4 linked regions of the Drosophila melanogaster genome follow. The protein of the gene in region 4 interacts with the protein of the main gene of each other region in a pairwise test. Each region holds a gene or a part of one and is shown on either strand. Other genes may lie near its edges. The genes, in order: Sqor, CG9689, CG7379 and MSBP.

Region 1 (8,580 bases), on a different chromosome or scaffold from region 4:
CAAACCCACGTCCACCTCCAAATCCTTGGCCTCAGGAATGCCCAGCTCGTTTAGATTATTAACGGCAATCTTGAACAGCTTGTTGGCCTTGCGACGGCCGGGAGTCAGACCCAAATCTTGCTTCATAGGAGTCGCCCGAGCAATTTGCACCTCCTGGGTCATCTCGGCGAACTTCATCACTTGCTAAACGGGATAAATAAATTTTAGGGACCAGAGTACATTGTTGTCAGAAAAATAGTTTACCATATTCTCATCATAGTCCTCAATTCTTGGGTTGATGCACACAATCATGGACACCTGGCCTTCGCCATCGAAGTAGTTTTTAAACATGTGTGTGATCTTGGAGTCTCGATAGGGGACCTTCTTGGGTGCCAATCCATTGCTAGCCGCGAGTTGGTTCTCGCGCAGATATTCCAGGCAAGTGCGCAGCGTCATCAGCGAATTATTGATGTTGCCCGCCTCACGGAGTCGCACACCGGTGTTCTTGGTCCTTGAGGATCGCTCACTGCCCGCCAGATCCACCAGGGACAGTTGACTCACTGTGATGTTTTGCCGGTCCTGAACCACATTCTCACCCTGGCTATCAGTGGGCGCCTGCACCAAGCGTATATTGAACACCGAGTGACTCCTACTGGATTCTGCATTGAGAACAGTGTGTCCCATTCGTTTGCGCTTCTGGCCCATTTGAAAGACCTCGAGGGCGTCCTCCACGGTCTTGACCTCCACCTCTGTGACGCCGTGGACGAACATGTGTCGATTGGCATCTTCACGAATGATTTTGCTCTGCAAAGTCCTGTCGGGTCAAGAATACAGTTAGATTTCTTTAAATGTAATGCTTAATAAATACTTACTTCTGTATACCCGAGTCCTCAAGGAGGTCGTAGACGCTGTTATTGTAAATTTCAATATAGGTGACAAACACCGAGTACATGTTGTCCTCATCCAAACCCAGCAGCGGAATTGGCTCCACGGAGGCCTGGGATGCAATTTCCGGATCCGAGTCCTTGTGCCTGAAGGCAAATCGTCCTGAGCCAGCAAAACGCTGGTTCATCTCGTGTTGGCGCTCCAAAAGCGCATCCTCTTCGGACAGGATCTCGAAGCCATTAAGCTTGTCCGGCTTGAAGACGAACTTCTTGGCCTGGTAATCTGAAATGGTGCGAAAGAGCACGTCCAGGCAGCGCGGCATGATGCCGCGGTGTCGCAGGTTGCCGGTCATGGTGTACGTTTTTCCACTTCCAGTCACGCCGTAGGTGAAAAGCAGACTGTTTCGGCCTTTCAGTAGGTTCTCCACCAACGGCTGGGCCACAGCTGCGTACACATCCTGCTGCGTGGCATCCGGCTGGAAAACGTGCTTGAATATGTACTGAACCTCGCGCTGGGCGCCGTTGTGTGGCTTGTGATGCTGCAGCAGCTGATCCTGCGGATTCAGTGCGATCGTCGTGGAGTTCTTGACCCTTAGGGAGGTGAGATCTGCGTCGGATTGTAGTGGCCGCACTCGACAGAACACATTCACTGGATCCCTGGCCTTGTCGGAGGTGTCTCGTCGCTGTTTCTCCACCGTTTGATGCACCCGCGGAGTTTTCGGGACGACACGCATCGGCGTCCTGGGTCTGCAAATGGGTATTCTCATTGATGGAGTTGTTCTTTCGGGAACTGTCATATCACTTACACTGCCTTCATGTTGTCAGCTCGTTTTTGCAACTAATTTGATATACGGGAGTTGGGTTTCTTCTTGTTTTGTTGCTGGAATCGATCTCTCTTTTAGTTCGTTACCTTCAAATTTACAGCGCCAAGCGACGCCACGCTTGGTTTTAGAGTGACCGAACTTTAGAAAGCGGTTAATGCTGCAAATACCATCCCCTGCTCCAATATATACTTGATACATACTGAAACCGAGGCTATGTACAGTGCGTGCCATTTGAATAGGTTAAAATATTTAGATATACTAGATTTTAAACTAATTTAATACTTTTATTTATGATCTCACATACCAAATTAAAAGTACAATGTTTATAAATTAGTATGATATTAAGGTATGGAATGGTTATGATGATGCCAAATATTCTTTTAAAATTAATTAAAGATCATTTGAGGTCCCTATTGCTTTTTATTAAACTTTAGCACTGAGAAAATTTTCCGCATTAGTGCCGGTCCGTTCCAGTAGCCGTTCATCATCAGCTTCCAGTAGAGCACCGGCATCAGCTCCTTCTTCATAAAGAACATGGAGTACCTCTCCTTGGACTGGTCCAATGGAAAGGTCTCCACGGGGGTGAGGTTGTAATCAAACTCAGCCAGGATGCAGGAGCTGTAGCCGGTGACGATGGGGCAGGACGAGTATCCATCGTAGATATCCGTTGGGGCTTTGCCCTCGATCGCCGCCATTACGTTTTTGAACACAACCGGTGATTGGGCGGCTGGAGGTGAAAAATCAATTGAATATTCTGATCAGGATTCCCAACCCATTTACCTGCCGCCGCGGCCGTCTTCGAGTTGGGACTGGACGCCGAATCGCCGATGGCGAACACGTTGCTGTACTTGTTGTGCTGCAGCGTCAACTGGTCGACGTCCACAAAGCCAGTGGGGGTTACCAGTTTCTTGCAGTTGGCCACCACATCCGGAGTGCTCATCGGCGGAGTCACATGAAGCATGGAGTACTGAGAAAGATATAATACTTATATAAGTTTAATTTCATGGCCTTCAATTCTCCTATTTCTGCAATACTATACGACTTTAAAATTGATCTTAGTTAACCTACTCTTCATATTTCTCGCTTTAAGTAGAAAGATATAGTTCTAGGATCTAGATCTAGATCTATATAGTATCTAGAATACCCAATTAATTGACCAGCACTTACCGTTTCCTCATAGTGAACTCCTGGTTTGGCGAGATCCTCGAACACGGCTATATTATCTTTATGTCTCACTTCAACGAGATTTCTTTGAACATTAAGCGTGATATTTCTCCTCTTGATCAGTTTCATCAGGGCCTCTGCGTAATGCTTAACACCAAAAATCACGGGAAGCGATGTATTGTAGATGATATTGACGTTGTCGCGACGACCCATCTGAAAAGGGTTTCAAATTGAAGTTGTTTGCCAGATATTCTATCTAAATGATGCACACCTTCCTAAAGTAGTGCTCAGATATATAGGCGATTTTCTGCGGTGCACCTGCACACTTAATGGGACAATTGGGAAACGTGAATATAGCATTTCCTTTGTTGGTCCTGCGCAGACATTCGTACACATGATCCACGTACTTGGGCGAGTAGATGGAGCAAACATTACTGTCGGGGGTCTCCAGGGCCTCCACCAGGCCAGGTATCTATGGATATGTGGATATGGATATTAGCAACTATTAAACGTACTGATACCCTACGTACCTTTCCATAATTGAGCTGCAGTCCGGTGGCGATGATCAGGAAGTCGTACTTGATGGTCTTGCCACCAGAAGTGCTAACCGTATTATTATCCGGATCGAACTCCAGCGCCTTCTCCTTCACCCATTTGGCCTTTGTGGGCAGCACATCGGCCATTTGGCGGTGGCTCTGATCCAATCTCTTCATACCACCTCCTATTAGGGTGAACATGGGTTGGTAGTAATGTTTCTATGGGGAATTATCGCGCTATGTCATAATGGATTATTTACTGCCTTTGGGCTTACTCACATCTTCCGGTTCCAGGACGACCACCTTGTCGCTGCCCAAACGTGAGGACAACTTGGCGGCCATGGCACACCCACCGGTGCCACCGCCCACAACCAGCACTTGGCATCTGGAAAAAATAGGATTTACTTAATTGCTGGAATATACAATGACAGACACCTCAAGGGAGATTAGTACAGTCGCATGACCACACCCACCATCAGTGCCATCTAACCATGGCCAACAAGTTATCTCTTCGTTATCGCCATTAATTAGTTACTAGCCTAAACATACTAATTCAATTTGTTTTGGTAGATATAGATATAGATTTGCCATGCCATTTGTTTCGCGGAAAATGTCATAAACTTTCGCAGCTATATAAACAAACTTACTCTTGCCGCTCGCGGTTCACTCGAGATGTGGACAGGAATCTGGTGGAGAAGGCCGTTGGAGCATGGTTGTGGGTGGCTAGGAGAAGCTTCTGGCACTGGCTGATGGTTCCTGGAAGGCGACGGTTCATCGCAACAGCTGGATGATCTTCGATCCCTCAATCTGCGTTAAAGAAAAACAAAACGGACTGCAAGTGCCCACAACCGATTGAAGACTGGCAAAAAAGAGCTTTCAATGGGGGGTTATCAAACCGGCTGCACTGGCAAAAAGTTTGGTCTATTTCAAATTTAGAAAAAACTTTAGAAATTTAAAAAATGCCGAAGATGCTTAGGCGGCACTGTGTAGTGCTTCCCAACATTTCGACCGGCTATCAAGGAAAACAAAACGAGTGTGGGAAAATTTGTCAGTGAAATCGAACATAACAACTGATTTTGAACACAAGTAAATAACACATTAGAAATTGTTAGAATTGTTTTAAGCGTACTAATTTGGAAAAAGTGTCAGGCTTCTAAAAATGTGGTATTTCTTAATTTCGCCCGTCGGCCATAAAAATCAGAGTGTACGTGGCTGAAAACCAGTTTTTATGTGGTAATAAAAATGGGGAAAACGCAACAGGTTGCACTGTAGTTTTCGGATGGGTGTATTCATAGCTTAACCTTGAAAGATGGCAAAAGCTTTTCAGCATGCTTTTGTACTCAGCTGTTTAAAGCTCATTTGGTGCTAAATAATCCAAAGCTCTAAAGTGCGCGAATGCTCGAAGCACTTAAATACTATCTACAGTGGATTTTGCCTACAGACAACACATGACATCATGCCTTAAAATACGAGGACTTAATTCTGAGAACAGCAAAGAATTGTGTGCTTATCGGGGCTCAATAAATAAAACAATCTGTAGGTGGCGCGTGTGCTCGGACCACTTGCTTTGTGTCTACAGTGGAACCCGGCGATAAGCGACCCATGAGATCATGCCCTTAAATACGGCTCCTCAGCGCTAACAAAGTATCATTTATTTGCCTGCTTATCGGGGCTAACAAGCGTTTTATTTGCCTTCTTAGTGCATCGGTTTATATTTATGGTATACCTCCAGGGGCAACCTTATCGAGTTTGAAGAATTTGAGTTGCATTTGCTGGTAACTGGCCATTACACTGTAAAAATATACGCATGCTTTCTAAAGGATAAACAAAAAAAAAAAACGCCGAAAAACTCGCATATTTTTATAATCAGGCATGTGGTTAAGTAACTGGTTTAATTTAAAATTGAATATTTTCACATTTGATTTGATTACTTGCGAGTCTTATCAAGCAATTCCTATAATATGTGGACATTAAATAAATGGTCAATTAATAGATTGCACAGACTCTAATCAGAATATGAAGGTCACCAATAAATCTTATTAATAAACTGCAGCGGTCATCTACTCATATACGTCAAACTCTAAATCAAGTTTTAAAAATTGCAACTAATATAAATTAAATGATTTTTGCAATTTTTCAGATGTTGATAACAATTTAATTCCATATTTAAATCAAAGTATTTCGTTAAAAAAGGAGATTTAAAAAACTTGTCTTCCCTTAACTTTCGTATTGTTTGATTTTTCTAAGGGTCTTTTAGGATCCCTATGTCATTCATCGTTAAGGGTTTTACTTAAAATATAATGATCGGACCCGAAAAGTTATATAATGCAAATGTTTTATGCCCCGGATTTTTCTGGGACCTTGAATCTATAGCTACTTCAGAAATAGATAAAGATATTCAAGTTAAATTAAACTCTTTTAAGATTATATCATGAAAAAGGTTCCAGATATTTCAATTAAAATTAAACATGTAATTTATATAAATTTCGATTTCTGATGAAAATAATAACAATAGTAAATTAGGGGTCTTTCCACCAAGCTTGTTGAGTACAATTTCCCTTCGGATCCAGGGATTTTCCACGGCTCCCCATTCCGTGCATTCGGATACGAGCAGATAGATCGATGTTGCTAATAAATATGGTAAATGTGGGATGATTAAGTGAACAATGTTGCCAATAAACGCGAGGCGGACATGTCAAACGCCACGAGACGACAACTGTGACAGCGGCGGGTTTAATTACGCCATGCTGCCGACTGATTGCAGATGGGCTTACGGATGTGGGATGTGTGGGCACATAGATGGATGGCTGGATGTGGCCACACACAGCCCACTGCGTGGGCGGGTGCTGAGGGGCAGGTCCTGGCGAGGTCCTAGCGTGGGCCCGACCCGCCGCCATGAGGTGGCCCATCGTCAATTGGAGACAAGCTGGCAATTCAAATGAAGCCCTATTGACTGATGGCCAAATTGGCTCCGCGACTGCGTGGGCGGCTATTCGAGGGCCAAGCGATAGCTACGGATATTTATAAGAAAACAATGGGTGGTTGGGTGATTGGCTGGCCTGCTGGCTGGATGCTTGGATGCTTGGGTGGCGGCTGGGTGCCTGGGTGGTGCTCGTTGCCTCTCAAACGGGCGAGGGGCCGCTTTAAATTGGGCGTGGCAGCCGCTGTTGCTAGGTGACCATTTTCACAGCCATTTCCAACTGCGGTGGCAAGGTCCCATCATCATGTGGTTCCCGAACCGATAATGACCAAGCTGGTGGTCATCATGCTGGCTTTCCCCGGGCTGTCTGTTGCCGTGATTGCGTGAGCTCCACTTCATTTGAATATAACGGTGGCAGGCCACTTGGAGCACGTAGGCCCACACAGTGAAAAAATGGCTGAGAATATAGGTTTAATGTAGTTATCAGATTTTAAGATAGACAGCAAATACGTGAGATTATTTAATTGAAACATTTTAGAAAGCATTACTTATTCGTAATACTTTATCTTAAAATTAAAACAAATTTTTAAATTGAACAAGTAGAAAGTGGAAATGCATATTTACACCAAAGAATTGTTCTATATATTTTAATATTAGACTGATATATTATAAAAATGTGTCATCTGCTGTCGCAGATAAGAGACCTTTCTAGATTTAAATATATATGTGGCCTTAATTTAATTAAATTATTTGAATACCTTGAAAATATCACCACCTAGTGACGAATCGCACAGATAAGAGTTTTTTTTGCCAAGCAAAACATTGATGAGCCATCACTTTTGAGTACATTTTTTTTTCACTGTGCGTATTTAGATATTTTTCCGGTTTTTTGTGGTATATTCCACATAAAAAGTGGGCGTTTAAGAAGTAGCAACAAAGGCCCATAGAACTCTAATTAGGTGGCCTATTCTCGTCCAGCTGAAGAGCATTATTTGTGCTGATATAAGCCCCATTGTAATGAGGCGGATTACCAATTTTGGTTGGATTTTTTCTCCGTGCCCAGACTCCTAGACTCCGAAGTGCATTTCAATTGACGCCACACCAAAATCAATTGCAGCATCGTCTGTGGCGGGATCTTTGTGCAATTGGTACCGGGGCTCTGGAATGCAAATAGCGGACACCGCGGCAATTGATGCAGAGTCTCCAACTGGAGGCAGCAGGTCTGCCATCGCCATCGCTATCGTCATAGCCATACCTATATCTGTATCTCCAGCTCTACATATATCCATAGAACCACGGTGATTGACTGTCTGACCGGAAAGCAGATGGAACTAATTCCCGTCGAGCCGAATTAAAATCGCGACCTGAACAAATCCGGAATTATCAGCCCAAAGGCGGAGGCCATCAATGTTGGGAATGGTGGGAAATCAGAAGGCACCGCCTCCGCCAAGTGACTGGCATCTATTGATCCTTGTGAGAGTCACCGCCATATGGTAATTTGTGGGATCGAGGCGCTTGAGTGTACTGTAAAAAACCGTAGTGATTTTCATATGCATTTGGGGCACGCATTTCATTTCATTTCATTTCATTTGATTTCCAGTCCGATCCGAACGCAGCCGATCCAATCTTCTGCGAATGTTAATGAGAAAAATGTAATTTAAAATAATAAATTTGCATACAATTTTCTTTGCGAGTCAATCAATCAAAGGGGAGCAACAAGTAACTCGGAGCCAGAGCCACAGCCATCCCATCCCCTGTGAGCCACCCCCTTTTTGGGGCTAACGAAAAAAATATAAGAAACCCGAGCGTGGACACGAAGGCAGCCGCCACAGATACATTTACAGATACGAATGCGGATTGAGATACTGTATCTGTAGAGAGTGCCGACGCCATAACTGTTATTAAAGCCCCTGTAGAGTCCAATTTGCTCGCTCGTCCGTTTGTCCATGCGTCCGTTTGTCCGTTTGTCCGTTCGTCCGTTCGTCCCGCATTCGCCCACTTGTTGATTTTTGGTTCGGTTCGGGCATGCCCATGCCCATGCCCATGCCAGATGCCAGATATAAAAGCATGGACGCTCAATCTTCCGCCACACAGTCCATCATCACTCGCCACATCTCGAGCAGAACGGAGCTCCACCGAGAATCGACCATATATATATATATTCACATATATATACAGAGCCGAGAGTATAACTGCAACTGCAGCCTGAGTTTTAGTCCAAGTGAAATCGAAAGCCCACCTTAACGTATTCCATTTCCACCGGAAACTCCAGC
Region 2 (7,848 bases), 6.0 Mb from region 4:
ATAAAGGGGGAGAGGGTACGATGATGTTTGTCTTTATGTTCGCAATTCTCAGAAGCAAATGTTTACGGTGCGATTTACGATTCAAATGTAAATCACTTGCGGCTTGCTATGCCATCCAGTTGTTTATTGCTTTAATGTGTCGCTTTTTGTTACCTTGTTTTCTTCCCAATAACTCAACATCAAAACTTTGTGTACTTGAGGGAAAAGAACATTGAACTGTCTGTTCTACAAAATGAATGGTTACGAAGTGGTGATTAGTAGCAGACATTTTGATCGTTTTCTGCTTTCTAGTTCATTGTAGTTTATTCTATTTAGTTTTGGTTATATTGTGATTAGATTTTCTTGTTCTCCTTGAATGTGTACGTCGTTTTGGGTGAAAGATTCCCAAATAATTGATTTGTTGTTTCCCCTGTGTGTCTAACTTAATTAGCCCCCAACTGATAACCATCGATCTGTGATCCCCGCTTATCAGCCATACTAAAGTCGCAAAAAACACAGCTCACGATTCCAACATCACTTTAGTTTTTATTAATATAGATCACAAAGAAAAAAAAAAAAAACAAAGAAAACTTATGCAACGAGACGGAGGGGACCTTCAAGCGATTGCAAAATCCCTGTAATCATAAGATTAATGGGCTGTCAATAAACTGGGCTTTTGGTTCGGATCGAATGGGCGGGCTGACCTCATGGGATCGGGGTGCTGGGTCCTCCGATGGGGGCTAAAAGGACCTTCTCGGTGGGGGCGTCATAGGCCACTGGAATTTTGGGCGTGGTCGATGGCTCATCGGTCAGCTTGTGCTTCAGTTCGTCGTACTTCTGGGCCACCGAGCTGCCAAACTCCTTGGCGCCCTCGCCGATCTTGTCGGTGTAGGGCTTGGCGGCCTCGGCCACCTCCTTGGCCCCCTGGTTGACCTTGCAGCCTAGGTTCTTGAAGAAGTGCTTGAATTCGCTGTCCTCGGGACTCTTGGCCTCGTCGCACTCGGCACGAACTTGGCCAGCGGCCATAAGCAGGACCAATCCGATCAAAGAGCACACAACGAGCGATTTCATCTTTACGCTTTCAGCTTGACAACGCGACTGACTGATCGCTCCGCTCCGAGACGGCGGTCTACGATCTGAAATCTCGGATCTCCGCCAACCGGTTACGCCCCTCCCATCCCGCCCGCCGCAACTTATCCACCCTGGCTGAAAACTAAATCCCAAACAAGTTGCGTTCGTGCGATCGGTTGTTTGGCGCTCACTCAATGCGAGCTGCTCTAGCTTTTTTGTAATGTAAGCTTTACTGCACTGCGAGAAAGTAGATAGATGTTTTTAAAGGCCCTGAAAAGATCAACTATATAATGTTTATCTTAAAACATAAAAAATTAAAAAAAAATCTATAGTGTTTTCTTAGCTTGTTAAAATGAATTTCATTACTTTGAGCTTCGAACGTTTTTTGTCTATTTATTAGAATATTTATATCTATGATTATTAAATAATAGTCTTAATCAACAAAAAAACTTGCGATTAACGGGTAATTATTATAAATAATTCATAAAGCTTGTTTTGAATTCAATTAAAAAAAATTGTTGCAATTTTAATTTAAATTTATAGAAAATTATTGATGAATAACGTGAATGATATGTTTATTTCAATTTATTCGCTTACATTCTGGCTTTCTGTGTGAAAAGTGTGCTCCATTAAATGTTTACTTATTGTTTATACAAATTTTACGCGAAATTGATGGATAATCAACTTAAATGAACAAAGCTACGGAAGCGTTTTTATATATCAAACAACTATCAAATGTTGTCAACCAACGCTCAATTTAATATTATTTGCACCCCAATTTACTTTCCCATGTTACAGATAAGTTGTGAAAGAAAAACAATCATTTCATTTCAGATATAGATAATTATAAGATCATTATTTCTTTATTCACGCTACAAAAAAATATTTGCTTATAATATATCTGACTACAGTTGCAATTTATACTGTGAGTCCGTTAGCGCTGTGAAATTTATTCTTTGTGGTGTTAGGCCTTTAAAGTGCATTGTTTTGTTTTTATAATAATTTAAAAAATATATATTATTTCTTGTGCTTGTAGAGCTCGAATTACTCATTTGGGTGTCCCATTCTTTTGACCCGAATTCCGACTTCTTTGGGGGGCACATGGCGGCCTGGGACGTGTGGGGTATACCCAATTGTAGCAGCAGCCGCGATGATCCCTTGCAGAGCATATAAATCCCGACCAGACCATCCCCTGGATAATTGGCAATGACAGGGAGATGATGACGATGATTATCAGTAGTCCGCTGGTGCCCAGAAGCTGCATCTTTCCCGACGACTGGCAATTAGCAATTGAAGCCCATCCAGTGAGATCGGCCCAATGAGACTCCTGTCGCTGGGATGATTCACTGATTCACTGATCCGTTGAGACCAAAACCGGCTCACAAGTTATGCCGGAGTTGCAGGGCTTCAGTTAGCAGGCTGTTTGTTTATTTTTGGCCAATAACCACAGTGGCAAGAAAAGTCCAGAAGAGAAAGTCGGGAAAGAATCACAATCAAGTGAAGTGAGTCACCAAAGCGGAGGAAGCGGTTCATTAAGAACTTAAACCCAATTGGCTCTGTAGTCACAACAAGTTTTTGGGTTCCAGTTATGCTAAATTCAAGATTTCTTTTGTAAACACCGGACTTGAACTACAAACACATTGACCCTTTAGATTTGATCTATTTAAATCATTTCGAAAGTGAATTCTGCAAACAAAAAGATGTATTAGAAATAATAATATATGAAATGTGTTGTATACTTGAACTTACCCATATGTATACCAGTTGCAATGATGAATCAGCAAACGAGTTCGTACATTTTACATTTGATATTTTACAAAATAGATTATATAAAAATATATTAAATTAAATGCTGTAAATTCATAAATAGGAAAGGCTCATCGAATAAAGAGCAACATAATTTATTAATTAGTATACATATATATTAGCATAGTGCTTAACTAAGTGCTTCACTAATTCTTCTCTGGAATGTAGTCCACCTCATTGGCATGATCCTCCAGCCAGTCCAAGTGAACTGGCGGCGCAGAAGTGGTTAGTTCCTCCTTAAGATCGTTTTTGGAGGAACTCGAAGCCTCCGATGTGGAAGGGGTGGTCGTGGTGGTGACCTCCTCCGGTTCCTTCTGCTCATCCTTATCCTTTTCCTTATCCTTTTCGAATTTAACCGGTGAGGCGAGCACATTGACCAGTTTATTTATGCGCTGGAAGAGCGATATGGTGGCATCCCTGGCCTTCTCCTCCAAGATCTTGGCCTCCTTCTCGATATTGGCTATCCAGGGCTTGGCCTTCTCCAGAGTGCATTGCAGGCTGTGGACGAATTTGTTGACCTCACTGGTACTGGGAGTGGTCACCGAATCACCATCCTCTGCAGACTTAGCCTCCGATCCGCAGACAATGGAGGCTGCCTGCATTTGACCACAACTGGCAAAGAGGCACAGGCTGGCCAAAAAGACGGCGATGGTCAATGAATTAGTCATCGCAATTGTGGATCTCGAATCTCAAATCTTGAATATCGTGTATCGCCTCTGAGGCCCCACAATCGACTGAAACCCGTTTGCAGCCGCAGTCGTAGCCACTTGACCAAGTTCTTGGGTATCTTGTGGCTTTTGGGCTGCGCCATTGGGTTTTCGAGCTACGAAGCTCGGCGAGAAAGTCGTCGGGCAACAGAAATGCATTTTCGGCGAGCGAAGAGAGAGGCCTAGAAAAAATGAGACTTGGGAAATGTAAAAGGCGGGAGGTAGCGGAGAGCCGGAGAATTCTCCAGAATGTAATAGAGAAAAAATGGGAAAAGAGAAATATTTACGGCTACTTATTGCAATTGTAAAGGTGACTAATCCATCAAGTTCAACTTACACACGGCATCTCAACTAAACTTTTAAAAGAACACCCGGTTTAATGCAGCTGGACCATTGTTTTCGTTGTTATGGTGAAAAAGCGAATGCCTCAATGGTGGGACATCAGAAAACGACTATTGGAAAAAATTCGATACTAACGCTTTTTTGTCGTTTAAATAGCTAATAGCCAAAGAATAAACTGATTTACAAATGGTATTTTCGTAATAACTTGGCTGAAAATGCTCATAAAGATGAAAGAATATGTAAATAACTGATTATTTGATGACCAAAACTCGGAAACACGGCTTTTGCCAAAAACTTGATATATACAAACGGAATTTTCGTCATAACTTGGCTAAAAATGCTCATATATATGTAAGAATAACTGTTTTGAGCAGCTAATTACCAGTGCTAACGATCCCTATCACTTTTTGAAGAATTTAGGAAAATTAATTTTTCGGCCAATTTTTGCATTTTTTGTAAGGGGTAACATCATCAAAATTTGCAAAAAATGGCAAAAAAATTTTATTTCCATATTTAAACGCAGTTTGATTGGAAATTTAATTACGAGCACAATGATATATGGCATTCCATATTCAGACAATTATTTTTAAAGTTATGGCAAAAAAACTGTTTCTGAAGACCGAAATTCGGAAAAACGGATTTTGCCAAGAAGTTGATATTTACAAACGGAATTTTCGTCATAACTAGGCTAAAAATGCTCATATAGATGTAAGAATAACTGTTTTGAGCAGCTAATTACCAGTGCTAACGATAAATATCACTTTTTGAAGAATTTAGGAAAATTAATTTTTGGGTCAATTTTCTCATTTTTTGTAAGGGGTAACATCATCAAAATTTGCATAAAATGGAAAAAAATTTGAATATCATTTTTTTAATACAGTTTGATTGGAAATTTAATGACGAACTCAACGAGGTATTTAGTTCCACATTTGGACTATTATTTTTTTAGTTATAGCCCAAAAACTTATCAAATATCTCAGAAAATTAAATTTCGATTGGGTATTGCATTAATTACTCAACGCAATATGGCACAACTTATTTGGAGTATTATTTCCAATACTTTGTTTAAAACACTAAAAATTCACATACCAAGAAATAGGGACTTTTCCACATTTGTATTTTTACTGTCCATTTTTATTTACACATAAAAAAAAAAAACTCATAAAAAAACTTAAGTGTTAACGGGAGGGGGTAGGACTCTTTGGGGACTATTTCCTCAATTTGCTGCAGTTGCCCAAGGCATCCAGAATGTGTCCATGCCCACACTGCTGCTCGCCCTTGAGGATGTCCGGATTGATAATCTCCACGTTGGCCAGAAAGCCGCGATCCTTGCTCATCTCCTCGGCGGAATCCTTGGCCAGCTTGTCGCGGAAGTCATCGAAGCGATCCTTGAGATCGCTACCCAGGACCTTGGCCTTCTCGCCCAGCTTCTGGGCGCCCTCTTTGAGTTCCGTGCCCAAGTCCTTGGCCTTCTCGCCCAGCTTCTTGGCTCCCTCCTTGATGTGGCATCCCACGTTCTTGAAGAAGTCGCGCACCTCGTGCTCCGAACTGCTACTGCTGCCCGTAATCTCCGATATCTTATCGCTCACATCTCCAAGTCCGGGTATCTTGTCCTCGCAATCGAAGAGACCCGCCTGACTTTGAAGAAAAACTCCGGCGAGCAGCAGGAGGACCAGCGATCCTTGCAAGCTATTCATCTTGATATATTCGGTTCCTTTGGCTTTATCCACAAAAACCAGACTGAACGTTGACTCCACTGATACTGGACTGACCTGGGGCGCTTCGATTTCCACCCATTTTATTCGTATCGCCGTCGCCTTTGTGTGTCACTTGCTTCGCATTTTCTTTAATTCAATTGGCGAACGGCAACAATCATCGCAATTGTGCGCTGATTTAAGCACAACTCGACAAAGATACAAATACACAATGATATGGATGGAGATACAGCTGCAGGCCGATGATTCCGTGATGGTCATTCAGATAATGTTGCCCTTTTAAATGTATATCCTAGTATCGCTACGATTTCCCAAATAAATACGATTATTTCCCCGTTAAGCCGGAAGCTGTGACAAATATGGCATATAAATAGACCATATAGTATATATACTAAACGAGATACGTTCAATTGGTATTTACACTCGACTCAGACGCACTAGTCTGGAATTGACCTACAATGGCACGAGCTACTAGTGATTATATAACAATTGGCGAGGCCAGAACATTCTCGAAAAACTGCAGATATTTGAGGGAGAGGCCATAAAACAGATAAAAACTGCTACTGCGATTTTTTGCAGAATTTTCTATAACATCAAAAAGTTACATGCATAACTTTTCTGTCAACCCTCGAAAAGACATTTATGTAGCATTACATTATGTAGCGCAGTTCCGCTATTGCCATTTTATTGATGTTCAATTGAGTCAACAGATCGAATCGATCATTTGCTGCTTTTCATTTGGGTCTAATTCCAGTTGCCGTCATCATTAGCCCCAATTGAGTGGATTTGGCTATCGTAAGTGCCATAGGGGTCAACCTCCTGATACTCCTGATCTCCTTGATCATCTAGATCCTCCTGATCCTCAGAGTCCTCTTCATTGTCGCCGAACAATTCGATATTATCATCTGTATCTGGTGCTTCTGTCGGTTCAGTTGTAGGTTCAGTTGTGGGTTCAGTTGTGGGTTCAGTTGTGGGTTCAGTTGTGGGTTCAGTTGTGGGTTCTGTTGTGGGTTCAGTTGTGGTGGTGGTGGTGGTTCTGCTAGTGGTTGTGGTGGGGTTGGTGGTTGTGGTTGGCCTGATAGGAGCCACGGGTTTCTTCACTACATCTCCACCTAATATAGAAAAGTCATTATGTTTATAAAATGCTACGATGTTATATTAAGATTACTCGCAATTAAACTTGCGTAACATCTATTTGCATAAGTGAATTGAAATAATGTTGTCTTGTTTCTTACACTCCGGATTGCTTGGATCGAAGTCACAGCGAATTTTCCAGTTTAATTCGTCATCATCGAGCTGGACAACCAACTTCTTGGGCCGCTTTCGGTAGTAGACGTCCTTGACCTCGATGATCTCGAGATCAGGATCGTCGGGTGATATGCGTCTGCGCACAAATCTTTGTTTTCTCCCCTCCAGAAGAGAGCGAGCCTGGAAAATCTCCAGGCAGGAGATTCCCAATAAAAGAATTAGAAACAGGGATCTGCTCATCGCGTTGTCTGTAGGTCGACTGTTTTGGAGGAGCTTCTCTTGCAAGCTTCTCGTACGGAACCAAAACTGTGCGGAAGCTTATCAAATTTGATAACCTTCTGACCTTGGTCCATTGCTGATGGGTGGGGAGGGGGTTAAGAATTGGCGAAGAACGCACCAGGATGTTGCATACTTTCGGTCCGCTTCGCATAATTGCGTCTCACGCCTCGTGACGATGCATCAATGTCCGCACAAATTAGATTTCCTCCACGGACGCGCAACAAATTAGCCGCAAACATAATTGCCTCGAGCTTGGCTAAAAGCCCAAACCTCCTATCCACCCATGCCTTTAAAAGTGGCACGCCATCAGGAGGAGACGAGAATCTGCGACAGATGGCGGAAATTGGCCAAGCAGTGAGACGCCTGTTTTCTTGGGCATATCGCAATCAGCGAGGCACATAATTAATAAATAAACAAATGTGTGGAACTATTATTTGTAAGTCCAAACCAATATTCAGTACGTTTCTTTGGTAAAAATTGGAGACCGGCTGGAAGAAAACCAAGAAACAAAGATACCAAGAAATTTTAAGCCCTAGTGACACCGAAAAATATACCCCTCTTCCAATTGTGAGAGATTCTAATTGCACACTTGCATTCAGAATGCAGTAAGCTCTATATCTTAACTTAATTAAAACGATTTGATTTAATAATGTATCTCATCTTAAATTGATGTGCACTCGATCCGCTTCCTTGATCACCGA
Region 3 (8,064 bases), on a different chromosome or scaffold from region 4:
ATTGGGCTATTCTCAACAAGTGCTTAAAGTAAACAAAAAGCTTAAAGCCATATGCACCGTACTAAAATCGCTACGCCCGTGAAAAGTGCTCTTGGCTACGCACATGGACACAGCCTGGAGTTCAACCCCTAGTTCAAGGTTATGCAGCCCTGCAAACTGTGCTTGCTGTTTTGCAGAAATTCGCAGTTTGCCGGCAAAGGATGAAGTGCGCAGTTCGCATCTGCGGCAACAGATTCCTCTGCGAGTTCGCCAGTCCAAGCACATCTCGGTGAAAGAAGAAAGCATATTCCGGACTTTCCCAACAGTCCGCGAAACTTTTCATCGACTCAACATTGCCGAAAACGGGAGAGCTCAAATTATTTGCGAATAACTTTCACAGATGAGGTCGTCTAGGACAGCCAGCGATTCAAAATGGGTGTGTCACTCAAACTCTTATTAATATTCTAATCTGGTATATTATGTATACCTTCGTTTTTTTTTTGCATTCAAGGTGCGCCAGTCAAACGACAACAAAGACACAATGCGCTCCTCGCGGCAGGTTAACAAAAAGCTTGTGAAGCTATTCCTGGCGGAGGCAGACGACAGTGACGCCACCTGCACCACATCCACTGCCCTGGACACGACCACAGCAGACAGTGCGTTTTTTGATAGTGATTTCGAAGAGGAGAGCACTGGGCTCCAGGAATGCGATCCCCCGCCGGCAAGCAAGTGCCGCACCTGCTTTCGCATCATATCGCGGCATGAGGATGCTCAGGATCTATATGACAGGGTCAACATAGCGCTTCTGCACCACATAAAGGTCATCACTGGGGTGTGGGTACGTCTGCGTCTGCATTTAAACTTACGTTTTCTTTTTTGTTGTTAAATTGTTTCATCTTCGTTTTATAAGTTAACTTTGTTGACAAGGAACATAATATGTGAGTTCTTAAACTGTTCTACCACAAATTTAACAGAAAAATAAACCCACTATATAATATTATAATAAAGCTGCATTAAAGAACTAACATTTTATTGCAGATACAACAAGGAGTCAAAGAGCTACCGCATCACATTTGCTCAACGTGCCAGGAAACTGTGAATAAATCCATGGAATTCCGTGCCAAATGCCAGCAGGTCGACAAAAAGCTTAGGCAGACGACGGAAAAGTACAACATTCAAATCTGTGACGAGGAAATGGAGTCGGAGCTGGAAAATGTGCTCTACGAAGAGTCCGCCCAGCAGGCAAAGGGAGTCGTAGGACTAGAAGATTTCAGCTCAGAGTTGTTGCCGGATAGTGAGGGTGTCCTGGATGAAGACGACTTTCCACTGGATGCAGAGCCAACTCAGTTTTCACTAAGTGAAGATGAGTTGGATCTAGACAGAGACACAGAAAAAGACTTTGCTTTGGAGCAAAACAAGTCATGTAATGAAATAATTAGCATACGAAAGTGTAAGACTAAGGAAGAGATTGGTAAGGTAGATCACGGAGCCAAGGTCTATAAGGTTGTGCTCGGTGAGTACAATAGCCTAAAGGAAACTGCACCAAAGTATTCGCTTTCACTACCAAAGAAACCTCAACTAAGGGTGAGTCCAGAGGAGAAAAACCGAAGGCGCCGCGAAAGGATACAAGCGAAGCCATTGAACTATGTCTGCGACAAGTGCGGCCACACCTTTCGCCAACGCAGTCAGCTGCAGATGCACTTGCTCCGTCACAATAGGGCCAAGAATTTCGAGTGCCCCGAATGCCCGAAGAAATTCTACGATCTCTATACGCGCAACATTCACGTAAGAGCGCTGCACAAGGGCGAGCATCCCTTTCCCTGCAACCATTGCAATGAGTCCTTCGCAAACGCAAGCAGTCGTCACAGGCACGAGAGGTGAGTGCACCTACTATTTGATGGTTCCATCATCTAATCACTTCGATTGACTCCAGGGATGTTCACGGAGCAGGCAATCGGATTCGAACGCGGGTGAAATCAAAGGAAGAGGGATCCAGTCGCCATTACTGCACCCAGTGCACCAAAAGTTATACCAGCAAGAAAGGTCTAGTCCTGCACATGAACTTCCACAACGGAAGCAGACCCTTCCAGTGCAAGATTTGCCAGATGAAATTCGCTGACCCATCTGCCATGAAACGACATCAAGCTTTGCACGACAAGTTTCCCATTCGCTGTGACATCTGCCTAAAGGGATTCCTGCTGCGCTCCCAACTAACAAAGCATCAGGATGTACACACAGGAATGCATCCTCATCGGTGGGTGCAAAAGAGAATCCCGACTACTGTCCGTTTACTTATTTCTTTACTTGATTTATATTGCCAGGTGCGAGATCTGCGATGTTCACTACCGCCATAGATATAATCTAAACAAACACAAAAACACCGATTTGCATCGGGATAATATGCAGAAAGCTATAAAAGAAGAAGTTAATGGACTGCAACAAGCATTTAAAGATATTGATAAGGAAATGGACTTTGAATCTCAAACACCAATGCAGCCAAATGCACAGGAAGTGCGAGCCAGAACTCAGGATGAAAAGACTCAAACTATTGAATATATATAATTTTTATAAAAATTTATATACTTTCATGGCGAAGTACGTAATACTTCTAAGGTGACGTTTAGTAAGTGCCGACATAGAAGATAATGCACGAACAATATTTTAAAAATATATAATTCGTATAATAGTATTATGCATTTAATAACGTTAAGCTTAATGAAGAATAGACTTGACAACCTAAATACAAATCTGAATAGTTCAGACGTATGTTTCATGAAAGGAACAATAAATATTTATATTATTAATATTAAATAATAATCAATTAAAAAATAATATAAGTGCATTTGTTTTTCCTAATTAAAAAATCAGCTGATACTGTTATTTGAAATTCTCCAGTTTCCCGGGCAAATGAGTAAGGGGTTGGTTTTGAACGTTTCCTACACTGGCCGTTGAATGAATGATACATGATTTTAAAATTACGATAATTGTAATAAAATGAATACAAAAAAAGGACTGAAAGTAATAATTAAATTTGTATTTAAAGGGAAAATATTTTTAATACTTTCTATTGCCTAGGGAAATGATGAGAAGATATTTGACCACAAACTATTAAAACCAATATTACTTATTTATTAAAAAATTCAACCGAAACAGCAGTGCCGTTAACCACCCCGATTTCAGTGTAGCAAAACACCAGCCGACTAGTGTTGCAAAGCACAACCACCCATTGTATACATACATATAAATAATACCTACGCACACATACACGCACACACGAGTACAGTCGCAAGTTGCGACTCGCAACGCCATACAAAAAGTTGGAACTGAGTGGAATCGGAGTACTATATAGCCAGCCGATCCCTTCCAGAGCGCCGGAAGAGTAGCTCACATCCGAACCCACGTCCCCGAGCCGATGTCGCGGCGGGAATAGAGCGATTCGCAGTCCAAACACGATGATAAACCCCATTGCATCCGAGTCGGAGGCCATCAATTCGGCCACCTATGTGGACAACTATATCGATTCGGTGGAAAATCTGCCGGACGACGTGCAGCGCCAGTTGTCACGCATCCGCGACATAGACGTCCAGTACAGAGGTGAGTTCTGGCCGAGATTACGCCTGTTGGAAAAGCGGAAAACCTAACCTCCTCTCTTGGTCCAAACCCGTCGATTTGCAGGCCTCATTCGCGACGTAGACCACTACTACGACCTGTATCTGTCCCTGCAGAACTCCGCGGATGCCGGGCGACGGTCTCGAAGCATCTCCAGGATGCACCAGAGTCTCATTCAGGCGCAGGAACTGGGCGACGAAAAAATGCAGATCGTCAATCATATGCAGGAGATAATCGACGGCAAGCTGCGCCAGCTGGACACCGACCAGCAGAACCTGGACCTGAAGGAGGACCGCGATCGGTATGCGCTCCTGGACGATGGCACGCCTTCGAAGCTGCAACGCCTGCAGAGCCCGATGAGGGAGCAGGGCAACCAAGCGGGCACTGGCAACGGTGGCCTAAATGGAAACGGCCTGCTTTCGGCCAAAGATCTGTACGCCTTGGGCGGCTATGCAGGTGGTGTTGTGCCTGGTTCTAATGCCATGACCTCCGGCAACGGTGGCGGCTCAACGCCCAACTCGGAGCGCTCGAGCCATGTCAGTAATGGTGGCAACAGCGGCTCCAATGGCAATGCCAGCGGCGGAGGAGGCGGAGAACTGCAGCGCACAGGTAGCAAGCGGTCGAGGAGGCGAAACGAGAGTGTTGTTAACAACGGAAGCTCTCTGGAGATGGGCGGCAACGAGTCCAACTCGGCAAATGAAGCCAGTGGCAGTGGTGGTGGCAGTGGCGAGCGCAAATCCTCGTTGGGCGGTGCCAGTGGAGCGGGACAGGGACGAAAGGCCAGTCTGCAGTCGGCTTCTGGCAGTTTGGCTAGCGGCTCTGCAGCCACGAGCAGTGGAGCAGCCGGAGGTGGTGGTGCCAGCGGAGCCGGCGTAGTTGGTGGCAATAATTCCGGCAAGAAGAAAAAGCGCAAGGTACGCGGTTCTGGGGCTTCAAATGCCAATGCCAGTACGCGAGAGGAGACGCCGCCGCCGGAGACCATTGATCCGGACGAGCCGACCTACTGTGTCTGCAATCAGGTGAGTTCGCAGTGCTTTTCCTATCGAAAAGCTTCGCCACTAATCACGTTTTCTATTGCAGATCTCCTTTGGCGAGATGATCCTGTGCGACAATGACCTGTGCCCCATCGAGTGGTTCCATTTTTCGTGCGTCTCCCTGGTACTAAAACCAAAAGGCAAGTGGTTCTGCCCCAACTGCCGCGGAGAACGGCCAAATGTAATGAAACCCAAGGCGCAGTTCCTCAAAGAACTGGAGCGCTACAACAAGGAAAAGGAGGAGAAGACCTAGTCTATTAGGCCAGCCTATCCAACCCATTGCTCTGTGTCTAACACCAGGCTCTGTAAAATATTCGATCCTAAGATTTACCTTAATGTATATTTAGTGACTTTCTTAGACCCGATCCCTTTTCGACTTTCCCCTCTTTCACCCAGTTTAGATCCCTCGCTTCTATGGTTATAGGTCGTCAGTTTTCATTTAAAGTTTCTGTACAAACAATATCTTTCTCAATGTAAACACACAAAAACTCGTATAATTAGAGTACACCTAAACTTAATTTATGGTAATAAACGTTGATATTCAAAACCCACAATAATTTCTTGGCCCCAAGGAGCCCGTATCCAGTAGCAGTAGTTTTACGAATCTATTTGTTTAATTGTCGTTTAGAAGACTAAGGCATTCGAATTACACATAAGTATAATTGATCGTGTATAAATGTGTGTAAAATATATAAATTTATATAAAACTATTTGGTAGGCATCTGTGGAATTGTATGGAATTCTTATTGTAAAAAATGCGCATGGACGGAGTTCTTGTTGCGTGTCAAGTCAAAAAGTATTCTAATAGATTATTCGAGCTTCTGTATGGAGGTTCTTCCATCATGGCATGAGCAGCTCAATGTTCGGATTCTGGATCTCCAGGAATATCTGGTACTGCGAGAAGACCACCAGCCAGCAATAGATCTAAGTGGATGAGTAAAATGGGTTTATAAACATAATGATACAGGAGTTGGTGTTGCTGTCCCTTGAATTTCAAACACTTACATTGTAGGCTACCCAAACGAAGTTCAAAAGGGCCGAGAAGGTTTGCTCCAGCTGGCGGTAGAGTAACACGAATTCATTAGCTTTAGTTAATGGAAAAGATAATCGCTACTCACATAAATATAGTAGCCTCCAATAAGCCAAAGGCTCCAGCTAAACTGGAAGAGAATGGCTAGTCCAATTAGACCCAGCCAGGGTAGCAGCCATCCTCGAGTGCTGAGAAACAGATGCAAGCATGACTATATCCGTACATATAGGAAGCCAGAGCTCGTCTTACCTGATCTTAATACCGTAGTAGACCAAATAGGAAGACAGGATGATTAGCAGGAAGTAGATGATAAAGAAGCCACCTGCCACGGGCATCGACGAACGTATATCCGTCTCAAAGAGCGGGGAATAGAGCTGCGCAGACTCCCCGCCTGCTAGCATATACGAAATCAGCGTGATCATTACGGCGGATAGCGCAGCCGTATAGCCGGCCACGGCATAGCTTCCCGTCCGGACATTATCCGACCAAATTATGGGCGACCAGCAGGAGCTCAGCACTACCATGTTGCTGTGGGAAAACACCGGGAGACACCAATGAACAAACTTCTCCGATCTCAAATTTCTTTGGCTTGCGTGACAGCGTCAACGCCCAAATATTTTGGTCAATGAAAACGCAGTCGAAATGTATGATTTTCTTCTGCTTTTCAATTGATAGCTACTTCTAAAGGTTAACCTTGGATATATCCTTTTAAAATGTCCAGATTGTTTTGGTTTCTAGGGCGTGGGCGTACCTTTTTTTAAATAATAATCGCTTAATTAGAAAAACAACAACGGCTTGAGCAATAGGGTTGCCATGCGTGCGTAAAAAAGGGAATTATCGATATTTATTTAGTTAAATATATCGCGAAAAGTTATGATATGTTTAATAAATTGAAGACATTTTCAGTAAATAGAATGTTTGCAAATTTAAAGTATGAGAATATTTTAATAAATATTATGATTATAAAATTAAAAAGTGTATGATACTAAATAATCGATGACTATCGAATATAAACTGAAACGCGAGTATGAGCACTGTACAGTATATTAAAATATTTATTATGTTTCCTATAATTCTATTAACTAACAAATGTACAGCAATGTATTTTAAGATATATTTATCAAATGTTTAATTTATTATATAATTGGTATATAATATATTAATTGATATATATAACTAGGTATATAATTTTTAAATTGTGAATTAGCTTAAAATTTGTTTTACACTCTTCAAGCTTGTAAAAACAATAATAATATCTGACCATCGATCGGTCCCACTGTGCAGCACTGAGCAGCTGAGCTGACCGAATCTGAATTCGAATATTCACCATGTGTCGACTGGCGACTGCAGCAACAACAACCACACGGCAGAGTACAGGGCCGGTTGTTGGAGTGATCTTCATTTGGCAATTACATTTGGCCGTGTTCGGAGGTCTCCGCGGATAAAAGCGCCAAAACAGAAGCCGAAAAAGGCCCAAGTCGCTCGCGCTACGTGAATCAGTTATCAGTGGGATTAACCGCGCGATTCGCACGGAATTCAAACGCACATAGTGGCGCAGTGGCAACTTCCCAGTGATCGTCGCATAACGGTAGAAAGGTGAAAACCCGAATCGAATCGAATCGAGTTGAATCGAAGGGCATAACACAGTACCCACACTGCGTGGGCAAGGTCAGCTCCACCAGATCCCAAACCCATTCCCATACCAAGTAGGTACATCAGAAGGCGCCTACATTTTCGATGATTAGCCATTAACCCAGTTGTGTGAAAGTTCTTTGGACTTATGTATGAATAAGTATGAATACGAGTGCGAATGCGAATGCATGGAGGTGCACTCGTCGCGGTCTCATGTTCCAATTGGAACGATCTTTCGTGCCGAATTGTGGCTCATTCCGCACATACGTACGCTGTATGAATGTTTGGGCCAATTTCTCGCCCCAAAGAGATGTGGGCTTAAAGTGCACCACCGAAAAAAAAAATCCACAAAAAAAAGTAATTTGGATCCCAGCAAAAAATGAAGCATGGCAAAAGAAAAGGTTAATAATTCGTGCCAATAATGCTCTCGAAATTTTGCTCGCATCTCTTGTTGGAAGTGGAAGTGTGTTTCGAGATCAGGAGTTTTTTCATCTCTGATTTTTCTGATTTTCGAAGGGGTTTTTTTGAGGGGGGAGGCTCGAAAAAAAATTAAAGCGGAATCGGAATCAGACTGCGCGCCGACGACCCATATTTCGATTTCATTTACGAAAATAAAAATACAAATACAAATTGAGAAAAAAAAAAACAACAGAAAATAAAAAGGGGAAAAATCTGAAGAAAAGAGCTGCGATACTTAAGTGCGGGCAAATAAGTAAAAGATATGCCATAAAAAGACAGCATAAGTGTATTTTGAAGATACTTTTTCGTGTTTTGTTTTCC
Region 4 (8,532 bases):
TATTTCCTTTGCTGTTGCTGCTACAATTGGTTGAAGCCTACATTAACAGAAGATTCGTTTTAACAAAATATTTTGCGTTGAAGAAATGGATTCTTACATCGTTCAAAAGATCACTTTGCTCGTTTTCCTTCTTTATGCTAATGCTGCTGCTGCTGCTGCTGCTACTGGCCCCAAAGGATTGCGCCGAAACATTGGCCAGCTCCTGAATATCCAGGGAGCGGCAGGTCGCTGAATTCGTCACGGTTTCAATGTTCTCCAAACCCATCGACTTCTGGGCAACGAGTTAAGATAACTATTAGTAAATAACATCTTATCGGACAGTTGAGGTGGACTCACCTTTGCGACCTGTGCTGATTGCGAGCCCAGTTTGCAGACACCCAGGTGATTACTGTTTGCGTTTGCATTTGCGGCGGCATTAAGATCACTTGATATTAGATTATTGAGCTGGTGCGTGGGCAGCGGTTTTGTTACGTGCAATTGGTCAATAGTGTTACTCGTGGCGGGGGAATTGTGAGATTTTTTGGTGTCGCTGCTGCTGCCAGTACAACTGGCGTGAATCACACCAACGTCAATGTGGTCATGACTATGCGATACGGCGCCACCAACGCCCAGCGATGGCAGGCTGATATCCAACATCAGTGAATCGTTGTCGTTCTCCAAAAATCGAGTACTAACAGTAGCACTGTTGTTCACTTGCATTTTTGCCGCATTGCAACCACCGTCCGCCGCCTGTTGTTGCTTGCTCGATTGGTTGTTGGTTGTGTGGTTTATTTGGTGGCTACTATTGTTAATTTGATTATCATCACTAATGTTATTATTACTTTTACTGTTTGCGCTATTGTCCGATTGCAATTGGTCTTGCTGCTGCCCATATTCGGATCGCCAATGATCCCTGGGCTCGGCTTCCGTCTCCAGAACATTGCCCACCATGTTCACAGATGGCAGCAGGTAGACCACGTTGGATAAACTGCTGCTATTGCTGTTCGCGTTGGGGCCATTGCTGTTGATCATGCTGTTGTTGTTGTTGCTGCTGTTATTGTTATTATTGTTGCTAATGACATTGCCGCCACGATCACGATGAAGGCTTGGCTGCGGGTTCTCCTTCAGATTGTTATTGTTAACAGTCAAAGTGGACAGGCTGGTGACACGCAACGGTTGCGATTGACCAGTATCTATAACCTTTGGGATTTTCATTTCCTCTATACTGTAGGTACAAGTTAGCTCGTCCAGTGCGGATAGACGCTTCTCCTTCCGCTTCTGTCCCAATTTGATGGCAAACTGTTGTGAAGAAAGATTATTACAGTAGGCTGCGTGCACGTATGAAATGAAATGGCAACGAAACCTACCTCAAGATCCTCGTATGTCTTAAACTCCAGTATAGCGAATCCATCGATGATTTCCTCCTCGAGCACCGGAGATCGTGGCAGCTTTCTTCGAACCGGAGGTGGTGGTCGAGGCGGTGGCTTGTCGCGCGGCAAGAGCAGTGTGGACGAGGACGAGGTCGAGAGCAGATCCTCGTCCAGCGACTCACCCTCGCTATCGCTAGGCGTGGCCATCAATCCCGAGTTGCACTCGGGGGAATGTGGTGGATTTAGGAGTAACGATGCAATACTATCTGTGGGCGGCAGCAGATTGTTGCTGCCATTGCTGCTGCTGGTGAAATTTCCATTTGAATTGTTGCTATCCTCGCCCATGCTGCCAGCGCTGTTGATGTGATAGATCATCCCATTGTTGCCGGGTCCTGCCGCCGATCCGTTGCCCATTGCAACAGCCGAGGATCCGCCACCGACGCTACTATTAGGCGTGACGAGGCCAACTCCACCTCCCTGGCCACCGTTGGCCGCACTCATGGCACTGCCGACCCCCACAGAGGATCCGGCTATGAAGGTGCCACTCAGCGAGTTGGCATTGCATCGACTGTCGCGTTCCGCTTGCAAACGCTGGGCACGTTCCCTCCGGCGTTTCTGCTGGCGCTGTTGCTTGGCATTCAGACTCAGATGAGTACTGCTACTGGAGGTGGTGCTGTGGCCATTGGTATTCCCAGCAGCCACCGCTCCTGATCCCGCTCCGAAGCCGGACTGATTACCGGCTATGCTAGCAGTGCCTCCCGCACTGGAATTCAGCTGTGGCATTATTGTGGATCCCGCCGCCGTCGGAGGAGACGTCGGGGATCGCGAATCTATGCCGGCTGAGGCGGAGACGGCCGCTGCAGCTGCCACAATCGAGAGTTCCGTGTCGGAGTCAAAGTCACAGGCACTGGGAGCCATCGATACCGTCGAAACAGATGGACAGGTGGGCTCCGATATGGAGACAGGTGATGCCGGGGGAATCGCTGCCACGGCCATGGTTTTGCCGCCATCCGATGCCGACGTCGCCGTCGTCGTCGTCGCCGCCGTCGAGGAGGTGTTCGATACAAACGATGGCCGAGCACGAGGCATGGAGCCCAGATCGGCTATATTGGCACTTGCTTGAACTAAGGCGGTCGCCGTCGGCGGAGGAAGATGCAGTACCGCCAGGGCGCCGGTCGAACTCTTTGATATACTCTGGCCCACTACCGTGAGCACTGTGGACTGTGGCTGTGACTGCGATTGCGACTGGGACGACTGTGAGCTGGAGCTGGAGTGTGAATGTGAGTGGGAGTGCGACTCGCTCTTCTCATCCTGGACTGGGACAGCGGGAACGGAGGATCCGATGTCCTGCGACGATGATATATGCTTGATTTGGGATCCTATTCCATTAATACTACTGCTGCCCGACGCAGACGTCTTTGATTTAGCGCTGGCATTTGATGTGTCCATTTCTTTTGCTACGTAAAGCTTCCAGTGGATTACACTTCAGTTCCTTTTCCTTGGGAATACAAATTATCGATGAGCATTATTATGTATATTGCTATCTGGACCAAACCTTTTCCAATGCATTCGACTATTATTTTTATCTATATTTCTTTACTTTTTTTTTTTTTTTCTTTGGAAGGAGGGGTTTTCTATGCCAGCGATAAGGCGAGAAAGCTTTACAAATATTGGATTTAAGGTGCTACTACGGCCGATTCAATCGCGTGTATTTTGAAAAAATCGATGCTGCGCCGACTGTTTTTACGTGATATTGTTATTTGGTGGCCACTGTGGGGTTTTTCACATTCCGACCGGTTAACATATTTGATTAGAGTCACTAATTTGGTTAAAAATAATAATTGTACAAGTTGTTTTCATTTCGTTTGCTCTTTTTCTTGTAGTCAACTTCCCTATTGCGCTTTTTTCTGTACACACACACATAATATTTAATTCTGCACACTTCTTTTTTACAACAAACACTTATTGTTTTTTCGGGTCAGTGGGATTGCACACAAATCAGAACAGATGTAAAATATAATAAAAAAAATAAATAACATAAAGCCGATATGAGAATTCACCGAAAATAGTCCATATTTATTTTGTCTAGCACTTTATCATTCGTCATATACTCTTCTTCTTCTTCGTATTCCTCCTCTGCTGCTTCTTCGCCTTCTTCTTCTTGAAATATATGTATGCACATATATGTACGTACATGCATGCGTACATATAAATTCGTACGAGTATACGTATGTATATTTATATACACCAGTTCGGTTTTGCTTTTGCTGTTGCTTTTTTTCTTGCTTTCCTTCTTTCTTTCGGCCTTTTTTCTCTATGCCTCCGTGTTCGTGCCGTCTATAAGTCTGCCGCTAGCGAGTGCACAAACCATTCAACCAGAGTTTCACACCGTTGCCTTTGCAAATAAAATTACGATAAAATAATTTTTTTTTTAATTAAAGAGAACATTTTGAAGCAGCTTCTTTTTTATTTTTACTCTTTCGCAGAACTTTAGTTGGCTTTTCTCTTAAAGATTTGCAGAAGCAGCGCAGAAACAGAAACAATAGTGTCATCTCGCTCACACTTACACTTTTCTAATTGCGACATACGTACATACAAAATACGACAACGACAAATACAAATACGACGACGACGACGACGAATTTTTGTGAACTGTATGCGATTGTTCGTACATTTTTACATTTTCCACACACACCGAACGCACAACGAACGGCCAAAACGATCGATTGTGCATCAACGCGTTATAAGCATCGCTACCAAACTAACTGTCATCACGGCTATTATGTATATTTTACATAAAATCCAATATTATTTTCCGAAAATTTTGTTAACCACAAAGAACCAACATAGTCTCTCAGAGACGGACCAAATTTTCGATAGCTGCAGAAAATCATTTTCAAGGGGATAACATTATGATAACTATCGAAGTAGCGGCCAGTCTCCACTGGTGGCCGCGATTTCGGGCGTTTCACACCGATAACAAGATGCGAAAAGTTGGTTTCAAAAAATACTGGGAACAAATGGAATAAATCAAAATCCATTATTAGGAAAAAAACCTGTTTTTTGCTTTTCTTGCAGTTCAGGATTCCCCCACCTCCCAAATAAAGATATTGAACGTTTAAGTATTTAATTTGTATTTCAAATATAGTTACATTTAAATTTATATTGCCACGAAAATGACTCCCATACCCTCCACACATTGGCCTCCTCCTTAAATAATTTTATGATTTCCGTTTGTTACATTTGTATGAATATACGACTATAATATATGGAACAAGATCACATCACAACGTGAATTATAGTAACAACTATAGCTTTTGTCAAGGCTGCACTCTAAGAATAACATTCAAAAACGATTTTATCTGTTTTAAATTCTTTTGAAATGTTCACGATAAATTTAATGCCTTGATTTGTACGGTTCAAATTGGGGCGTGTTCTTTAAATGTTTTCCAAATAGGTCTTGTTCTCGATTTTAAAGGAGCAGAGGCAGCATCAAAAAGAGTCGGAAATGCTATTTAGTTTTGTTGTGTTTCTAACCGAAAGTAAACTATTACAGCCACATCCAAAAGCAAAACAAAAAACCCGATTCGCTAACAGTCGGTAGAAGGAGTGGCCTGATCTTGTGCGTTATTTTTGTTTGTTACATTGCTTTGCAAAATGTGACTTTCCTTTTCTTGTTTGGTGTCATCAGTCTCAGTTTTCGACTTGGGTAGGTTCTTTCGCTCTTGTTCATCATTGTTAACATTCTCCTCGTCCTCATCATCGTCATAGTTGGTTGGTTCCTCGCCCTTGCGCAATAGCTTACCAACCAGCTCATATTTTTCTAAATAACATAATGAGAACGTTAGTTTACCTATGAATCTGAGCATATACATATATATATATATGATTTAATTACCCTTAAACTGCATTTCCCATTCCCGCACAGAGTCCATTTCCACGGCACTTAAATCGCTCAGGTCATCGTATTCATCCTTGTCAATTGAAACCACGCTGAAAGTGGCCAAGTTTCGCGAGGCATCTCTACCCGCAAAAGTTGCGTAGGGTCCACCTGAAAAGCAGAGAATCATCATATGTTACTATCTAAATATTTATATAGTTTTAGTTTGTTGGAGTCAGCAGTCTGGTCATCAGGAACACGGCACCGTTGATAGAAGATAGTATACAATCAAGTGCGCAACTTAAGGCTTTTCTGCGCATCTACGTCACAAGTGTCGTGCATCTTGCTCGCACTCGTTACTTTTAGTTAAAATACTTAAGGAAAAAGTGCAAGCCGTTGTTGAAATGCCACTGGTTTCTGTTTGGTGTCTTTGAACATTTCAATTAAGGCATTTACATTAGGAAGTATTTCGATTTGATAAGGCGGACGACAACTATTTCATATGAAAATGACGATCATGGTGAACTATTTTTGCATTTCATGCTTAACAATAAAAACACCTAGTCGACATTTGGTAGGCATTATTTGATTATTGAATTTGGTTAGATAGTTGCGTTATCTCAAAACGAAAACTTTCTTGTTGATAAGCTGTTAATCTTAGCGCAAAAAAAAATGACGAAATATAGCAGAGATATGAGCATATGTCGTGCAATATCTCCTCCCACAGAAATTAAATGCGATTAAGAGAGTTACAGATATCAGGAAAACCAATATTGTGACGTAGCATTGCAATTATAGATAGACATCGTATAGAGGGATATAAATAATGGGATCTTGGCAATGAAACACATACCAAAATACCAAAATCCCTTCCTTATAATCGGCAATAGATCAATCGAAAATAGTTCTAAAGGTATATGCTATACTGTAAGCTTAGGAACAACTTAAATTCAAATATTTATAGCCTAGCACTCACCTGGGCCGTAAAAACGCCTTCCTTTGCTGACATCGTAAACACTTCCGTTGACGGCGACCAAAACACGGCCATCCGGCTGAGTTCCATCGTACTGGCGAAGCTCCTTCACGGTAAAATCGCGTCGGATTTTGGGTAACTCAGGTTCGGATGGCTTTGCAACGCCCACGGATGGCACTTCGGTGCGATCCCGAACGATTTTATAGACCAGGAAGCAGATGATGGCCAGGAGGGCCAGGTTCATTGGACTGTACAGGATTTCGCGGATTATGTTGCCCAGAAATGAGGAATCATCGTTGTTTAGATTGTTGCCGATTTCCTTGTCGTAGGCCGAACTAGGATCTGCACCCACTTTGGAATCCATCTTGTTCGCTTAATTTACTTGCTGCACTGGATGTCGCTATGCACTGAATGTTACAATATTGTACATCAACCTGTGAATTGTGTATACTGCCATTTAATAAATATGCGTTTCGTGTTCGGATTTTATGTAAAAAAGCGGTTCGGTATTCCGAAAAAAAGTGGTAAATATATGTAAGCGCAATGGTAATGGACCAAAATATATGTACATATGTAATTGCAATGTAAATTCCAAAGTTTATTAGCTCACCTTTTAGACGTGCCGTCTCGATTCGATTATTTTCATATTCCTCTGATCAATTTTTGCTGCGCAACAATGATTTCATAAATTAATACCTTTATTGCTCAGCAGCACCGACCTTTTGCGACTTACTGTATTTACAATTTTACGAACTACCTATGAAAATTGTGACAATGATTTTAGTAGGTTAAAGGTCTTTCATTACTGAAAAGTAATCGAAAGAAGCGATATCAGCGTGTTGTTAAACACCAAACAGATATAACGCGGTCTTTCCACTGAAGTTTTCTCATGGAACGGTGGGAAAAAATATATATATCAACGTCGGTTCTCAGTGAACGGAAATTCCAAATTTATATATCGTAACGTTATATTTTCGATTTTTTCCGATGTTATTCCAAATTAATAGAATATATGTTAATATTTTTATAATCTGAAACACGGAAAAGACAACAACTAAAATGCAATTTAAATTATTAAATAAAAATGAGCAAACTTGGTTATTTAAACACTTGCCTGTTATATGGCATGTTACTCTGCAAGCAACTGTCGAAAATCAACTTTTATTCTGTGAATTCTTAGATATGAAGTTAAATGAAGTGCAAATAAGCTATCCCCCAAATTAAAGTGGTCCAGAGTGCTCGAAATTATCGTCCATCTCTAACGCATTTTAAAAACGCAAGTGGCTGGTCTCACTCATGTTATTCCACATTATATTTTGTATTGCATTCTATTTTATCTAAGCTAGCAAATATATTTAAGGCAACTAGACTAAATGTTAAGCATTCGTGTTTTAAGGCTACAAAATGGACACTCCGTTCTTAACAACGCCTGCCAATTGGCACTTTCGCGAAACAAGAGCTCCAAAAGGTCGAGCAAAGACAACGTAACGCGACAGGGAAAAATATTTGGCTCGTTGTTTGGAAATCGGCTTAAAGGCAGCAAAAGCCATTGGTATCCATCGCCCGATGCAGGAACATCAGGCAATCAAAAGTCGCTGCACGCCTTAAAGTTTGGAACCCCACACTCGAAGACAACTTGCAGCCACAACAATCGACGCATGTCTGTTCTGAACAAGTTGTTCATGACGAACATCACTGATATTCTGGCCACCGGCGCAGTTGCCGATTCCATCGTGGGACACGGAGTGCAGATTTCCTATGTCAAGATCACCAGCGACTTCTCCCGCATCAATGTCTATTGGATGGGCAAGGATGGCGGGGAGAACCAAGAGCTCGAGAACACATTGAATCGCATGAGCGGCAAACTGCAGCACGAGCTATCGCAGCTCCATCTGATGGGCGAAGTGCCAAAGATCAAGTTTGTCCGGGACAAAACGAGCACTGGTCTCCATCAGGTCCACGAGGTTCTGTCCAAAATCGATCTTCAGCACAGTTACTCTAGTTCAAATGCGGAAGTTGAAGAAAGCGACGCACAGAGTTGTCAGACGGCTGCGGATGAGGAATGGCCGGAGATGCGACAGGATTTCCTCAGTTTTAACCATAGCTTAGTTATGGACAAGATTCTCGGCAAGATGCGCAAGTCCAAAGATGCCTGGGTTAATCATAGACAAAATATTGCGAAAACCTAACGTTTGTTAAATCCCTCGACTTATGTACATAATGTTAATTATTAAAGTGTTATTCAATCCAATGTAAATTGGGTTCTAAAGTTGAAAATAGGGGTAGGGTCTGTAAACGTTTAATCATTTTCCAATAAGTTTGAAATGTTG

What was found.
Region 1: the proteins of MSBP (region 4) and Sqor interact in a two-hybrid assay, tested with the Drosophila melanogaster proteins (one large-scale study listed by BioGRID).
Region 2: the proteins of MSBP (region 4) and CG9689 interact in a two-hybrid assay, tested with the Drosophila melanogaster proteins (one large-scale study listed by BioGRID).
Region 3: the proteins of MSBP (region 4) and CG7379 interact in a two-hybrid assay, tested with the Drosophila melanogaster proteins (one large-scale study listed by BioGRID).

What each region holds. Positions count from the first base shown.
Region 1 is NT_037436.4:4,235,978-4,244,557, reverse strand, and holds Sqor (sulfide quinone oxidoreductase), read right to left. Parts: upstream 4,386-8,580; 5' UTR 4,284-4,385; exon of another isoform or gene 4,220-4,283; 5' UTR 4,163-4,219; coding exon 4,035-4,162; intron 3,773-4,034; coding exon 3,667-3,772; intron 3,607-3,666; coding exon 3,382-3,606; intron 3,324-3,381; coding exon 3,123-3,323; intron 3,065-3,122; coding exon 2,855-3,064; intron 2,655-2,854; coding exon 2,468-2,654; intron 2,415-2,467; coding exon 2,098-2,414; 3' UTR 1,955-2,097; downstream 1-1,954. Other genes in the region: pav (pavarotti), read right to left, coding at 1-183, 244-793, 852-1,610, 1,670-1,680.
Region 2 is NC_004354.4:9,877,704-9,885,551, reverse strand, and holds CG9689 (uncharacterized protein), read right to left. Parts: upstream 3,600-7,848; 5' UTR 3,525-3,599; coding exon 3,003-3,524; 3' UTR 2,800-3,002; intron 2,737-2,799; 3' UTR 1,882-2,736; downstream 1-1,881. Other genes in the region: CG9691 (uncharacterized protein), read right to left, coding at 685-1,050; CG9686 (uncharacterized protein), read right to left, coding at 5,114-5,602; CG1468 (uncharacterized protein), read right to left, coding at 6,365-6,732, 6,856-7,108.
Region 3 is NT_033777.3:17,793,477-17,801,540, reverse strand, and holds CG7379 (uncharacterized protein), read left to right. Parts: upstream 1-3,236; 5' UTR 3,237-3,431; coding exon 3,432-3,573; intron 3,574-3,654; coding exon 3,655-4,607; intron 4,608-4,668; coding exon 4,669-4,875; 3' UTR 4,876-5,165; downstream 5,166-8,064. Other genes in the region: CG17803 (uncharacterized protein), read left to right, coding at 380-415, 491-817, 1,018-1,856, 1,913-2,233, 2,301-2,541; pasi1 (pasiflora 1), read right to left, coding at 5,463-5,546, 5,628-5,678, 5,741-5,840, 5,902-6,176.
Region 4 is NC_004354.4:15,883,097-15,891,628, forward strand, and holds MSBP (membrane steroid binding protein), read right to left. Parts: upstream 7,014-8,532; 5' UTR 6,813-7,013; intron 6,653-6,812; exon of another isoform or gene 6,637-6,652; 5' UTR 6,567-6,636; coding exon 6,206-6,566; intron 5,401-6,205; coding exon 5,248-5,400; intron 5,173-5,247; coding exon 4,940-5,172; 3' UTR 4,471-4,939; downstream 1-4,470. Other genes in the region: tay bridge, read right to left, coding at 1-37, 98-271, 337-1,278, 1,347-2,798; CG15916 (uncharacterized protein), read left to right, coding at 7,576-8,391.